Linked DNA regions of Canis lupus familiaris. The protein of the gene in region 1 purifies or fractionates together with the protein of each later gene. This does not show direct contact. Links are inferred from orthologs where the notes say so. Each region holds a gene or a part of one and is shown on either strand. Other genes may lie near its edges.

Region 1 (7,294 bases):
TACCATATGTATTTTTTCTAGGTCAGAAATTGCTTTGGAGCAGGGAAAAACACATAGCAAAAATGGCAAAGATAAACATGAACTCTGTAAAAAGATATTCAGCATCACAGTCGTCAGGGAAATGCAAATCAGAAGTACAGTGAATATCACCTATGTGTCAGAATGGCTATTATCAAAAAGATAAAAAATAACAAGTGTTGGCAAGGATGTGGAGAAAAGGGAACCCTTATGCACTAGTGGTGGGAATGTAAATTGGTTCGGCCGTTGTGGAAAACAATATGGAGGGGTCCTCAAAAAATTATTAGAAACATAAAGAGGAGTAGAAGGTACAGGGCTTCCAGTTATGAATAAGGCACAAGGACGAGGGGTACAGCCTAAGGAATATAGGGAAAAAGAAAAATACCATACAATCTAGTAATTCCACTACTGGGTATTTAACTAAAGAAAACAAACTCATTTAAAAAGATACATGCACCCATATATTTATTGCAGCATTATTTACAATAGCCAAGATATGGAAGCAACCCAAATGTTTATCAATAGATGAATGGATAAAGATATGGTATGGGGAACCCTGGGTGGCGCAGCGGTTTGACACCTGCCTTTGGCCCAGGGCACGATCCTGGAGACCCGGGATCGAATCCCACGTCGGGCTCCCGGCATGGAGCCTGCTTCTCCCTCCTCCTGTGTCTCTGCCTCTCTCTCTCTCTCTGTGTGACTATCATAAAAAAAAAAAAAAGATATGGTATGTATATACACAATGGAATATTACTCAGCCATAAAAAAGTAAGATCTTTCCATTTGTGACAACATGGGTGGAACTGAAGGGTATTGTGCTAAGTAAAATAAGAGAAAAACAAATACCACACAATTTCACTTATATGTGGAATCTAAAAAACAAATAAAGAAACCAACTGTTAAATGTAGAAAACAAACTGGTGACTACCAGAGGGGAGGTAGGATGAGGAGATCGGCAAAGTAGGATTAAGAGGTGCAAGCTTCCAGGGGCACCTGGGTGGCTCCATTGGTTAAGTGTCCAATTTTGGCTCAAGTCATGATCTCAGTCGCGAAGTCAAGCTCCAGGTCGGGCTTTGCACTGGGCATGGAGCCTGCTTGAGATTCTCTCTCTCGCCCTCCCCACCCCCCAAATAAATGAATACAATCTTAAAAAAAAAAAAAAGTGCAAACTTCCAGTTATAAAATAAGTCACAGAGATGAAAAAGTAAAACATGGACAATATAGTCAATAATACTGTGGTAATGCTGGATGATGACCGATGGTACCTGCACTTATATATAACTGAATCAGTATGTTGTACACCTGAAAACATTGTATACCAACTATAGTTATAACTTTAAAACAAAAAAAATAGCTCTCTTAGGAGAAACACAAGTTACATCTTTTACAGTTTGCTCCTGCTGTTTAGATTGCATGCTATCCTAACAGAATTTTGCGTACCCCAGGTTCTATAACAATGCCTAGAATAGGTGCTCAAGGAGTGTTTGCTGAATGGATTGCTTTTACGAAAACAATGTACTATGTGACATTATCTCAAGATCCTAAAATCTTCATACCACTAATGAGACTCAAATTTTTATATTTTGTTATTCCATAGGAGATTGACATCCTCCAATAATAGACCTCGAGAAGACAGCTGGTTAAAATCCTTATTTGTCCGGAAAGTTGATCCAAGAAAAGATGCTCACTCTAATCTCCTGGCCAAAAAGGAAACAAGCAGTCTATATAAATTGCAGTGTGAGTGATAGGTTTGCTATCTTCATAGTTGACTTTTTTCCCTTTGTTCATAAGTTTATCGTTGAATTTTCTTTTGTTTCAGTTCACAATGTTAAACCGGAATGCCTAGAAGCATACAACAAAATTTGGTGTGTATACCAGACTATACTTTACTTGGGGAAAATTAACAATTTGAATATTTGTTGGTTCAGCTAACACTAGACAGCAGAGTGAGATCTTTGATCCCTCTTCTTGAAGCTGAATGTTCAGAGGCTCTTAAATTGAGCTTTGTGTGGGATTGCCAAGGACATTTTGATTTTAAGGACTCACACGGCTAACTTATCACATAAGTGCTCAGACGTTAGAATGTTCCAGCCTCTTAAGGTTGGAAGCAGGTACCTTGTAAGGCCATCTAGTCCATCTACTCATCCGTGCTTGAGTCCTTTCTGCAGATCTTCATGACTGCCTGTGTTTAAGTACATTCATACATTCCATCTCTGGACAGCTTTTAGTGTTAGGAATTAGAACTCACACCCTGGTGACCTCGACCTCCATTGTTTCCAGCTTTACTCCTGAGTAAAATTTCACATGAAAGTCCTATATGTATTTGAATATAGCCACCATTTCTTCTCAAGTCTTCCAGTTACCAGGATTAAAGTCCCTTTGGCAGATTCCCAAACAATAATGAGATCCATATGCTCTTACAGAATTTGTAAACTTCAAGACTAAAGAGAGAATTAAGTGCATTTGTTCTCATTTAAGGTAGCAAATTGTATTTTAATGATTGATTTTGAGCAAGTATCATTTAAAAGCATTTTTTTTACCTTTCTTATCTGCTACCTTCATGAAAAAGCAAATGATTTTGTCACCAGAATCAGTATAATTTTCAGATGCAAAAATCTTTTGTTATTTTGGGAGGTGATTCGTGAAATATAACATTAGCATAGAGTTTCTTAATCACCTCAACACAGTTCTTTTTATTTAAAAATGTCCTAAGACAAAGCAGATCTTACTTCTAAATCTTTTTTCCTAAAATGAAATTTCTTGTCCGTGGTAATGTTTCCCTGGATTATCTTTCTTGTCCTGTTTGTATCACTTCATCTCCTGTCTCAGATATTCATCTCCTGTCTATTCATATTTCCATTCAGATGTCTTTCTCTGCCTTCAACCTCAACATTAGAATCACCTGACTCTTCTCACATATGTCACTCACCATGGTTTTATTTAACCTTTTCCTTAGTCCTATGCAATTGGTGCATTCTTCATTTGATACGCATTTTGATTCGTTTCATCTCCTTCTCCATCTCCCTCTCCCAGCTGGTTAAGCCCCATTTCTAAGTAGCATCCTTTTTGACTGCCTTCTTGGCCTCAAGGTTGTATCTGTACCTTGCCCCACACCCAATCCATTACTTCGAAGTTTGTCAAATTGATCTCCCTGAGTCTGCTTTCCCTGCATCATGTTTTTTTCTTTTCTCTGATACTTTCAGCAGCTCCCTGTTTCCAGTATATAAAGACTTAACTCCTTCCTGGTTTTTAGGGGCCCAATGATGAGGTTCTGCCCAGCGCATCCAATTCTGAGTACAAGTACTACCTGCCTTACAGCTGTCATTCATGTAAGGCCAGGGTTTCCCAGAACAGCTTTGGAGTCCCCAGCAAAAAAGATATGCCTTCGTATTGGTGAAAAACCTGGGCCCCATCATCAGGCCCCAGCCCCTTTCTGGACTCCACGTGGGTCATCTGTACAGGTTTTCTTCTACACTGGCTCCCATTCAGGGTTGTCATGACAAAAAAGGAAATCCATTTCCAATAACTTCACATAATCCATTTTTCCCCACCCCTGATTTCTATCAGTCCCATGTTATTTCTAATATTAATCTTTTTGACCCAGTACGATGATCACACCATATGTATTTTTTGAAGGGTGGCATTTCACCCTTCAAAATGTGGTCATTAGGGGATCCCTGGGTGGCCCAGCGGTTGAGTATCTGCCTTCAGTCCAGGGTGTGATCCTGGGATCCGGGATCAAGTCCCGCGTCGGTTTCCCCACAGGGAGCCTGCTTCTCCCTCTGTCTGTGTCTCTGCCTCTCTCTCTGTGTGTCTCTCATGAATAAATAAATAAAATCTTTAAAAAAAAATGTGGTCATTGTACTGGGTCATAAACATGTATGGGTTTTCATTTAGCTAGACATTAGAGACAATTCTGAGCTTTTCTCTCTTAATTGCATGTGCACTCAGTTCTGGTGGCCCAGCCTCTGATAGTGATCACTCACTTAATTGGCACTCAGTGTCAACAAATAGTTGGAACAGGTTCCATTTCTGACCCTTGAAATCCTTTTGCATTTATTGTTGAATCTGTACTGTACATAATTTTTCTCTTCAAAAAATATGCATGTTTAGCTTTTATTTTGGGATGGCACAGTTATGGCTCTTCCTTTTGCCTTGCTCTGTATACTAATCTGTACCATACAAAGGTTTCCATGGTTAAATTAACATACTGCCAGGACCTGTCACAGCTTTGCCACTGCTCCTGTACAACCCCTGGTAATGAACTGCAGGGGTGGGGTGGGATGCAACATGGGATTATATGGTACTTGTTAAATCCTGTCTGCTGGTTAAATGGAATCGAACCCATGTTATGGTCCATGTTGCATTTTAATTTGGATTCTTCTGCCATGTTGATGCCCTCTGGGACAGTTGGAGCTGCGTTGCTTCCGGATTCTATTGTGTTCTAGCTCCATCCTCTTCCTCCTTACAGCCAGCTTGTTCTCTGCCTCTGCTAGCTGCCTGCTCATGCTGCTTCTGTTGTCTCCCGATCTTAAACATTACTTTCTTCTCTTATTTCTTCTGTGCTGTTTTTCTACTATTCCTGTTTCTCTCCTTCTTGTCTTGGGAACCAGCAGAACTTAGCTTTTAGAGACTTCACCCTTCCTAGGTACTTCTCCCATCCGCCCCCCTCCTGAAATAGCAAATAGTAGACCCATGTAGTTCCTGGAATCCTGGGACCTTTGGCTCTTCCTTATCCATTTTTATCACTGTACTTGAGTTGTTTACAACTATTCTAGGTAGTTGGGATAACAGAAACCTAAGCCTCTGTCTGATAAGTGGAAAATTAGAGTGCAGCAGAATTCAGCTAAAAGTTTAATTCTGTACATCATTTTATCATAAATATATTCTGAGATCAGTTGTCAGAGTAGATGGCCTTTTTCCTACTGCTGACCATGTGTTGTCTACCTGGTATAATCTTGTCAGTTTAATTAGTGTTGCTATTTCTTCTCTTTAAGTCAAGAGGTGTTGCCAAAGATTCACGAAGATAAGCATTACCCTTGTACTTTGGTGGGGACTTGGAACACGTGGTATGGCGAGCAGGATCAAGCTGGTAGGAAGCAGAAGTCTTTGGAATAAACCTTTGTCCCCAAGCCTTTACTGTTAATGACCTAAATAATACTAAATTTAATGCTTGTTTTTATAATCAAAGCCTTATAAGTCTTAGTCTAGTTTTATTGTTAAAGTAGTTTATCCAGCAACTGATTGCAAAAACTACTAATTTTTTGGTTTTTTTTTGCTTTAACATTTGAATCCATTATTGAAACTCTATGGTGTAACTCATATGCCAACACGTGGCTCATTACAGTTTCGTATGATGTTAACATTGTGTATATGTAGATTATTTTCAAGGTAAGGAGTATCATGAAACTCTAAATGTATGTTACCTTTTAAAAATATATTTCAGTCCACCTCTGGAGGTATGAAGGAGGCTATCCAGCCCTCACAGAAGTCATGAATAAACTCAGAGAAAATCAGGTAGTGATTTTGAAAAATGTTTATTCAGACTAGTGATGTAATAAATGATAGGACATAATTAAATGACTTTTCTATCATCATTTTTTTAATATTAATAAATTTTTTTGTAGTAAAAGTTTTATTATTTGGATTCTTAAAGTTGTATCAAAACATAATTAACCAGTTGTAATACTATTAACATAGCAGTTCTTATTGTAAAAGTCAGTTGTATTTTGAAACTCGTGAGCTAGTACTTTCATGCCAGTAAGTCAGCATGGTAGACACAGTCAGCCCTGGATTACCCAACACTTAATCTGCTTCAGGAACTGCCAGCCACATAGTCTCTCCCTTGGGCTGACTTCCTTCCTCCCCCTCCCTTCAGTAATAGGTGCAGGTCAATGAAGAGAATTTTAACAGCCACACATTATTAGGAAAGAAAACCTTTTGTGTAGATAGATTCCCAGTCCAAATATAAGTGGCTTTTGGACCATCTGGTATTTTGTAGTCTCTGTGTCACTTCTATTAATATGTTGTCAGACACTGTTAGGAGAACTCAAAAATGTAGGAAATTGAATTTGCTTACATTGTTATTTAAATAATTAGGATGGCTATGTAGTTTGTCATCTAAACCTGGATACTTTTGAGAGTGAAAGTGAATGCTAATAGTTATTTTGCCAGTTCAACAAAATGTAAGCTGGGGGCTGTCTCAGGCCACCTAGGACCCTATTTATGATAGTATTCTATTATAGGAGGAACATAAATGATACAAAAATGGGTTTATATGTAAACACTAAAGGATATCATCAGCACATTTTTTCCCTCAAAGGAATTTGTGGAATTCCGCAAGGCAAGAAGCAACATGCTTCTCTCTAGGAAGAATCAGCTGCTGTTGGAATTCAGTTTCTGGAATGAGCCTATCCCACGGTCAGGACCTAATATATATGAACTCAGATCTTACCAGCTCCGAGTAAGTACTGAAACCTAAACTAGAAATCTCTAAGTTAACAGCCCTCTCATTATTCTGTGAGGAGATGTGAGCACCCCTTAATGCCAATAGCAAAAGTTAAGTTTACATTTTGTGATGTGTGTTTGGCATAATATCTTGATTGGTTTGTTTTCTCCAATGCCCATTCCTGTCTTCTTTCCTTTTTTTTTTTATCTTATTCTCTTTCATTTCATCTCCTAAGCTCTTTTGTTTCATATAATCTTTATATAGTGTTTTTTTTTTTTTTTTTTTATTTATGATAGTCACAGAGAGAGAGAGAGAGAGAGAGAGGCAGAGACACAGGCAGAGGGAGAAGCAGGCTCCATGCACCGGGAGCCCGACGTGGGATTCGATCCCGGGTCTCCAGGATCGGGCCCTGGGCCAAAGGCAGGCGCTAAACCGCTGCGCCACCCAGGGATCCCTATATAGTGTTTTTTATTTGACATTTTTCCATAGAGCATTACTATTTTTTTGAAGATTTTATTTATTTATTCATGAGAGAGAGAGAGAGAGAGAGGCAGAGACACAGGCAGAGGGAGAAGCAGGCTCCATGCAGGGAGCCGGATGTGGGACTCGATCCCGGATCCCAGGATCACACCCTGGGTGGAAGGCAGATGCCCAGCCACTGAACCACCAGGCATCCCAGCATTGCTATTTTTAAGAAGAAAGACCTAAAATGCGGAACTAGGTATAATATGTAGCATCTGCTATAATTGAATTAGAGCAACTAACAAATGTGAGACTGCTGAATAAATTACAGAGCATTGTAAGAATCAAAGGGAATATTTTATAAAG
Region 2 (7,294 bases), on another chromosome or scaffold:
CCCAAGGTTAATGACCATATAGGATCCCTTTGGGGAAGGCTGGGAGGAAGATTAACAGTATATTCCCATTATGGAAATGCAACCTCCCCTTAATTCAAGAGGTTCTGGGTCTGTAAACTGACTCATTGCAGGGAAATGATGAGGGCCCATGACTTTCTTTGGTGGTTTAGGTTATACCTCTATTTACTAGAACTAGAATTCTCTCATACAGATCAAGTAAGACTATAGTAGACTTACCATCTATTTCTTTCCTAGGGACACCATGATCAACTAGCCAGTGCTATAGGTCTCTGTAAGTCACACTATTCTGATTACTACTTTGGTTCTGCTGTCCATTATGATAACCATACTCAGTTTGCCTTTGGCAGTTAAATGTTGCTATTTGGCCTCAGCCACCCTAGGATCCCAATTGATGGTAGCAGTTCCCACTGTGATTTGTGACCTACAGAGAAGAATAACGACACAGCCCTTCAAGCATGCCATCTTCCCCCAAATTGATTTCTTACAGTCATGGTGAAAGATGTGTCCTCTAACCTTTCCAGGTTGGCTGAGCAGGTCTAACATCATAAATCCACGTTAACATTCCAGTTTCCTTAAGCCTTTCATTAGCTTCCTCTACAGCATACCAACACAGTTCTAGCATTTCAACTTCATTTGATGCTACTTGTTTTCTATTTGTCCTGTTTTTCCTTCCTTCTTTCATTTGGATTAGTAATTTTTTACCCTCACTATTGGGCTTTTACTTTGCTTTACCCTTTTAATGGTTACTCTAAGGTTTATAGTCTATATCCTTAACATATGATCTATCTGGAAATGATGTATCATTTTACCTATAAGGTAAGAACCTTAAAAGAATATACAGTTGACCCTTGTATGATATAAGTTCAAACTGTGTGGGTCCATTTACACACAGATTTTTATATAGTACTGTAAACGTAGTTCCTTTTTTTCTTAACTTTTTTTTCCCGTAGCTTACTTTATTATAGGAATACAGTATGTAATACATACACAAAATATGTTATCAACTATTTATGTTATTGGTACACCTTCTGATCAGTAGTAGGCTATTGGTAGTTAAGTTTTGGGGGCATCAAAAGTTATAACAGATTTTCTACTGCAAATGGTATCAGTGTCTCAACATTTCATTTCTAAATATATTATATATTCCTCAGCATATTGCTATCTTTGTTTTCAATAGTCATCTTTTAAGGAGATTAAAAATGAGAAGAGAGTTTTCTATATATACCCACATGGTTACCATTTTGAGTGCTCTTTCTTTGTATAGCTCCAAGTTCCCATCTGGTTTGATTTTCCTCCAACCTGAAGAACTTGACATATTCAGTCGCATAGGTCTGCTGGCAATGGAGTCTCTCACCTTTTGATTTGTTTGACAGCCTTTATTTCCACTTATTTTTCTAAAGATATTCTTGAGTGCCACAGAATTCTAGGTTCTTGTACTTTATTTATTTTTTGGGGGGGGTACTTTATGGATGTGTCAACATCATGTCATGGCTTGCATAATTTCTGATAGAAAGTCTGTTCTCATTTTTATCTTTGTTCTTCTGTTTATAATGTGTCTCTCCCCTTCACCGCCCTTGCCCCCACTGTCAGATCTTCCCTTTATTACTTAGTCTTAATCATGTGTTATGGTGTATCTTGGTTTGTTGTTGTTGCTATAGTTACTGTTGTTTTTTAATGTTCATTGGGCATGGCATTCATTGAGTTTCTTGGATAGTGGATTTGTAGTTTTGACCAAATTGGAAACTTTTTGGCCATTAATTCCAATATTTTCCCATCTTCCCCCCACCCCTTCTCTGCAGCTCCAACTTCACCTATGTTAGATTTACTTGATACGGTCCCAAAATGAAGCAATTTTTCTTTTTCCATCTGTATATTTTCTATTGCCATGTATTCAAGTTTCCTGATCTTTTTTTCTTTGGTGTATAATCTACTATTAACCCAATCTTGTGTATCTTTCATTTCCTATCTAGAAGTAACATTTGATTCACTTTTATGTATTCAGTTTCTCTTCATTATGTTTCTGCTTTCCTCTACCTTCTTGAATGTATAGCATGCATTTACAATAATAGCCTTTCTAACATTGTCTGCTACTTCTGTCTTCATTTCTGCATGTTTGTATCAGTCAGTTTGCCTCTTGCAGTTTCATCTCATGCACGTGGTTAACAGTACTCATCCAGAGTTTCAGGGGCCCTCTGTAGGTACCTGGAGTCCTCCTTTTGTGGAGCAGCTGCCCTCCAGGACTCTACTCCACAGGTTCCAGCTGCACTGGCCTCCCTGCAGGCTCCTTGAGACTTTTGTGGGCCCTCTGCATTTTTACCTCTCACAAGTTGGAGCTTTTTGTTTTTGTTATTCATTTGAGACACACAGAGAGAGCACAAGCAGGGGGAGTGGCAGGAAGAGGGAGAAACAGACTCCCCGCTGAGCAGAGAGCCCAATTCAGGGCTCCATCCCAGACCCTACAATCATGACCTGTGCCCAAAGACAGATTCCTTAACCATCTGAGCCACCCGGGCATCCCAAGGCTTTTCTTTTTCATCCTCTTTCACATACTTTCACAATAGGGCATGTATCATAAGAGAGATAAAAATATGATTGCAAATTTGTTTCAGCCTCCTTTTACTATTGGGATTTTGTTTCCTTCATACCACAAGACTGCACAAAATTGCCTTTTGAACCCCAGTCACCAATAGACACAGGATGTCTGTTTACACAACCCTGTAAAAATAGCCTTTGGAATTTCGGAGCCTATCTCTTTAGTCTCTTTCCTCAAACAAGTTCAGTATAGAGTAGATGCCTTAAGTAGAAAATGAGTTACATTATTATTGGCATATTCCTTTCTCTATAGAAGTACTTTATGTGCTACACATCATCACACTGTGAGAGATTTCCCTCCAGCTCTTTGACCCAGCCCTTCCAGCCTCCTATACCACCTTAGAATTCCATGAATGTTCCATGGGGAAAGACTAGCTTTGCATTTGGTTTCTTCTAGCTTATAATGTATTGTACATGACCTCCTAAAACTGATCATTTCACTTGCTCCCAGGAGCATCCTTCTGCTTGAGCCAACTCTAATCTTCAGCCCATGCCCAAAAGAATCATATAACCTCAGAAAAGAAAACATCCAGCAATCATCAGTTCACTTCAGGCAAGCTCTTCCCTGTCTGGAATTTTAGTTCATATGGTCCTCATTGCTTCTACCACTCTCTCATAGCTTTATGAATGTGTGGTTTTACAGTTTATTCATTTTTGTCTGCAGTTTTGCAGCAAGAATACAGGCCTCATGAGACATTCTACATCCTACTCAGAAATGGAAGCCAGACTTAAGACCTGGTTTTCTATCTAGAGTACATTGTTACACCCTTGCTCAGTGTTACTTCTTATATTCTTTGAGTCCATAGCTCATAACTTGGCACCTACCAGTCTCTAGTATAACATGGAAAGCTATGCTGAAAATGATTTACATTCTAATCTGTTGTGTTCATTTTTACAGGACCAGGATTAAAACCTCCAGAGGAACGGACAATTGAATACTTAGAAGAAGTTGCAGTTAATTTTGCCAAAGGACTATCTGATAAGAAAATCTCCATAAAGAGAGACAAGGGATTAGTAGAAAGTGAGTGTCATTATTAAAGAACTAAGGCAAAGGTTCTCTCCAGAGAGTTTAATTTTGTTATAAAATGAGGAGGTAAATGCGTTTTTTTTTTTTTACTCTAAGTATAGAGTCATCCTTAAGGAGTGTAACAACTGCTCTAGGTTCAAGTCCTAAACCTTACACTGGTTGGTTACAGCCATGTTTTTTTTCAATTTTTTATTTTGGAAAATTTGAAGCATTAATACAAAAGCAGAATAATATATAATACTGTAATAAACACCCATGCACCCAACACCCAACTTTAGTATTTATCAACTAATTAAACCATGTGTATAGAAGTGCTTAGGTTGCAATTTGGATTTTGTATATCAAAGTGAAAAGTTCTTTCAGATAGCTACAATTACTGCATTTTTATGGAGTTTACAGAACAAACTAAGAAGGGAGACTAGGCTTTTTCCAGTAAGTATCTAAAAACCATTTTCTTTTGCAGAATTGACGTCATATGCCCTGAGTATTCCTTTTGTCAGACAACAGGTTTACAAAAAGGTGGAAGAAAAAGTACGAAAACAGACCAAAGGCCTTTATCCTGCACCTCTGAAAATAATCGATGTGAGTCTTCACCCCATATTCCCACATTTCTCATGTTTCCTCCCTTTATAGAGCAGTATTCTTTATTGCCATTCCGAACTATGTCTTCTGGTACTATAGTTCTTAATTCTGTTATTACAGTACTCACTAAAAATAAAGCAAGCAAGCCATGAGGGCTCATAAACTGATTATTTTGGGGATAATGAGTGCTGGGCATAAGGAATTTAAAACTACCAGTTATAAAACAGGAAAAAATAGAAAACCTGTTATATCAGAATAACAAGGCCAGTGAAATCCTGGGCATTAATTAAAAGGTAGTTGAAACAAAATTGATGGCCTCGGTTGAAAACATTGCAGTACCTAAAATGCCTTATTGACTTCCCCATTGCTGTAATTATCAAAAAAATGTAATGATACAGAAAAGTTCTGAAAAAGATCAAGGAGGATAAATAAAATGATCACAGGGTTAAGAACTTCTGTCTAAAGGTAGACTTTAAAACTTAGAAACTCTTTAGTCTTCAGTCTTTAGTATCTAAGATTAAGAGAACATGTAATCTAAGACTTTGAAAATGGGCAATAAATCAGCCAACAAATATATTTTGAGGAAAGACACCAAAATGCATAAATAGGACACATGATTCCCTTCTCACACCCATCTCCCAGTTTGGGGAGATTAGATGTGTGTCTGTGCTGGGACAGGTAACTAATGGAAGGGATGTTAGATGCCACCCTGGGATCACTGCCAGATAATTGAACAGAGGAAGATTGCTAAATGCACAGAGGAGGCAACAGTCACTGTAAGCCAGAGAGATTAGGAAGAGCCTCCTATAATTTTTTTTAAGATTTGATTTATTTATTCATGAGACACACAGAGAAAGAGGCAGAGGGAGAAGCATGCTCCCCACAGAGAACCCAATGTGGGACTCGATCCCCAGACCCGGGATCACGCCCTGAGCTAAAGGCAGATGCTCAACCGCTGAGCCACCCAGGCATCCCAGAGCATCATAGAATTTGACCTGAGCCCTGGAAAGTGAAGAGAAAGTGGTACCAGGTAGGGTGGGCATTTTGAGCAAAGTTACAGAAGCTGGAAAGCATGAGGTTCTTCAAGGAACATTTAATGAGATCAGATTTTGTAGGATACTGAAATGTGTGCAAAAAGGCCAAATGAACCTAGATTTTAGAACTTGGACAATAATGAATTTGGAAATTTGACCTTCATCCTGTATAGATCATAGAGATAATAGTCCTAGTAAGTCATAAACAATTTAGAAAGAGAGACAAGTAGAGACTTGAAGTTGGAAGCTATCTTGGTCATTCAGACTTGACATTACCAAGATAGATTAGTAAAGAGGTGAAGGTAGTAAGAGACTTGCCAAAGAGAAGAGATTATGAGTTAAGTCTTAGAAGTGCTGAGTTTAGATGTTTCAGGAAATTCAAGTGACAGTTTACACAAAAGATAAGAATGTAGATTTGTGCTGAGTGAAGTAAGTCAATCGGAGAAGGACAAACATTATATGTTCTCATTCATTTGGGGAATATAAATAATAGTGAAAGGGAATATAAGGGAAGGGAGAAGAAATGTGTGGGAAATATCAGAAAGGGAGACAACGTAAAGACTGCTAACTCTGGGAAACGAACTAGGGGTGGTAGAAGGGGAGGAGGGCGAGGGGTGGGAGTGAATGGGTGACGGGCACTGGGGGTTATTCTGTATGTTGGTAAATTGAATACCAATAAAAAATAAATTTAAAAAAATTTTTAACCAAAAAAAATAAATAAATAAAAATAAAAAATAAAAAAAATAAAGAATGTAGATTTGTTCATATGTGGGTTGGTTTTTTTTGTATATATATATCCACTTTTCCTTCTCATAAATTGTGGTGATTGAATACAGGGTCAATTCGACTTTTATACTTGGACTTAGGATAGGACTTCCCTCAAATGTTAAGTTGAATTTATAGAATTCATGAGTAACATGACAGAGGAGACCATCGGCCTGAGGAAGAATGCACGGAAGGAGAAAAGGGCTGAGAGTGTAACTATGGGGATGTGCCTACTAACGTAGGAGAGCAAGAGAGAAGCTGGAAGAGCCATTTTAGCAAGAAGGAAGGGGAAACCTTTTCTCAGACTTGAGCAGTGCCAGTGGCAGCTTTTTCTCTGCTGGGATAGTGGTCTAGAAGTGGATAAGGAGATAAGAGTTTGAGCTGTGGGACCTCTGTCATCTTTTCCCATTCTGACTTTTATTACTTTCTTCTATTTCATTTCCTTCCATTTTATACTAGTTTTAGTAGTAGTCTTGGAGATGGAAAATGAAGTCAGTCTTTTTTTTTTTTTTTTTTAACTTTTTTAAGACTTATTCATTTATTTGAGAGAGGGGGAAAAAAGAGCAAGAGAGTGAGCACAAATGAGGGGATAGGCAGAGGGAGAAGCAGACCTCCTGAGCTCCATCCCAGGACCTTAGGATCATGACCTGAGCCAAATGCAGATGTTCAACCAACTGAGCCCCCCAGGTGGCCCAAGAATAAAGTAAGTCTTAAGCAAGCAGCCATTCAGTCCTCTTGTCTTTCTTACTCCGCTTCCAGACTTTTGGCTTACTCTTTGAAGACTGATGAACTAGCAGTTTTACTCACGGTAGTGAGCATCTCGCCCATCCCTTGCAACAATGAACAAATGCTTTATGTGTTTTTTAGGTGGTAAAGACTGGAATTGAGCAAGGGAACGATGCTGGCTATCTCTCTGAATCTCAGGTAAAGTTCTTTCCTTTGAATTTTTTATTAGCTACTGAAAAACCAAGATCTAGAACTTTTTATAAAGCTGAGAAAAGGAAAGGTACCCAAAGTCTATCTAAAATGTTTTTCTTCTGGTGACTATCATTTCTCAGGGTTACTCTCAGTGAATAGATGTTAAGAACACGTTAGTGGTCAGTGGTCCCAGCTACTTGAACTTGCTCTCAGTAATGAGGGTTTAAGTAGGGAAAGCAGGGCCAGAGTTCTAATTCTTTCAAATGAATCATTGGGATGTTTTTGTTCTGGAGTTGGGCTGGTTATATTCTGATAAAAATGAATACATTGAGAGAAGAATACATTTCTTACTTAT

Evidence for each region.
Region 2: the proteins of NIPSNAP2 (region 1) and HADHA purify together in Homo sapiens (affinity purification with mass spectrometry; 3 studies listed by BioGRID and IntAct, with this or other methods). This does not show direct contact. The link is inferred for Canis lupus familiaris from reciprocal best matches to the Homo sapiens genes NIPSNAP2 and HADHA.

What each region holds. Positions count from the first base shown.
Region 1 is NC_049227.1:375,923-383,216, forward strand, and holds part of NIPSNAP2 (protein NipSnap homolog 2), read left to right. Parts: intron 1-1,615; coding exon 1,616-1,755; intron 1,756-1,837; coding exon 1,838-1,883; intron 1,884-5,015; coding exon 5,016-5,110; intron 5,111-5,464; coding exon 5,465-5,535; intron 5,536-6,340; coding exon 6,341-6,481; intron 6,482-7,294. UniProt on the Homo sapiens protein: Protein involved in mitophagy by facilitating recruitment of the autophagy machinery required for clearance of damaged mitochondria.
Region 2 is NC_049238.1:20,393,712-20,401,005, reverse strand, and holds part of HADHA (trifunctional enzyme subunit alpha, mitochondrial), read left to right. Parts: intron 1-3,511; coding exon 3,512-3,634; intron 3,635-4,103; coding exon 4,104-4,222; intron 4,223-6,888; coding exon 6,889-6,945; intron 6,946-7,294. UniProt on the Homo sapiens protein: Mitochondrial trifunctional enzyme catalyzes the last three of the four reactions of the mitochondrial beta-oxidation pathway.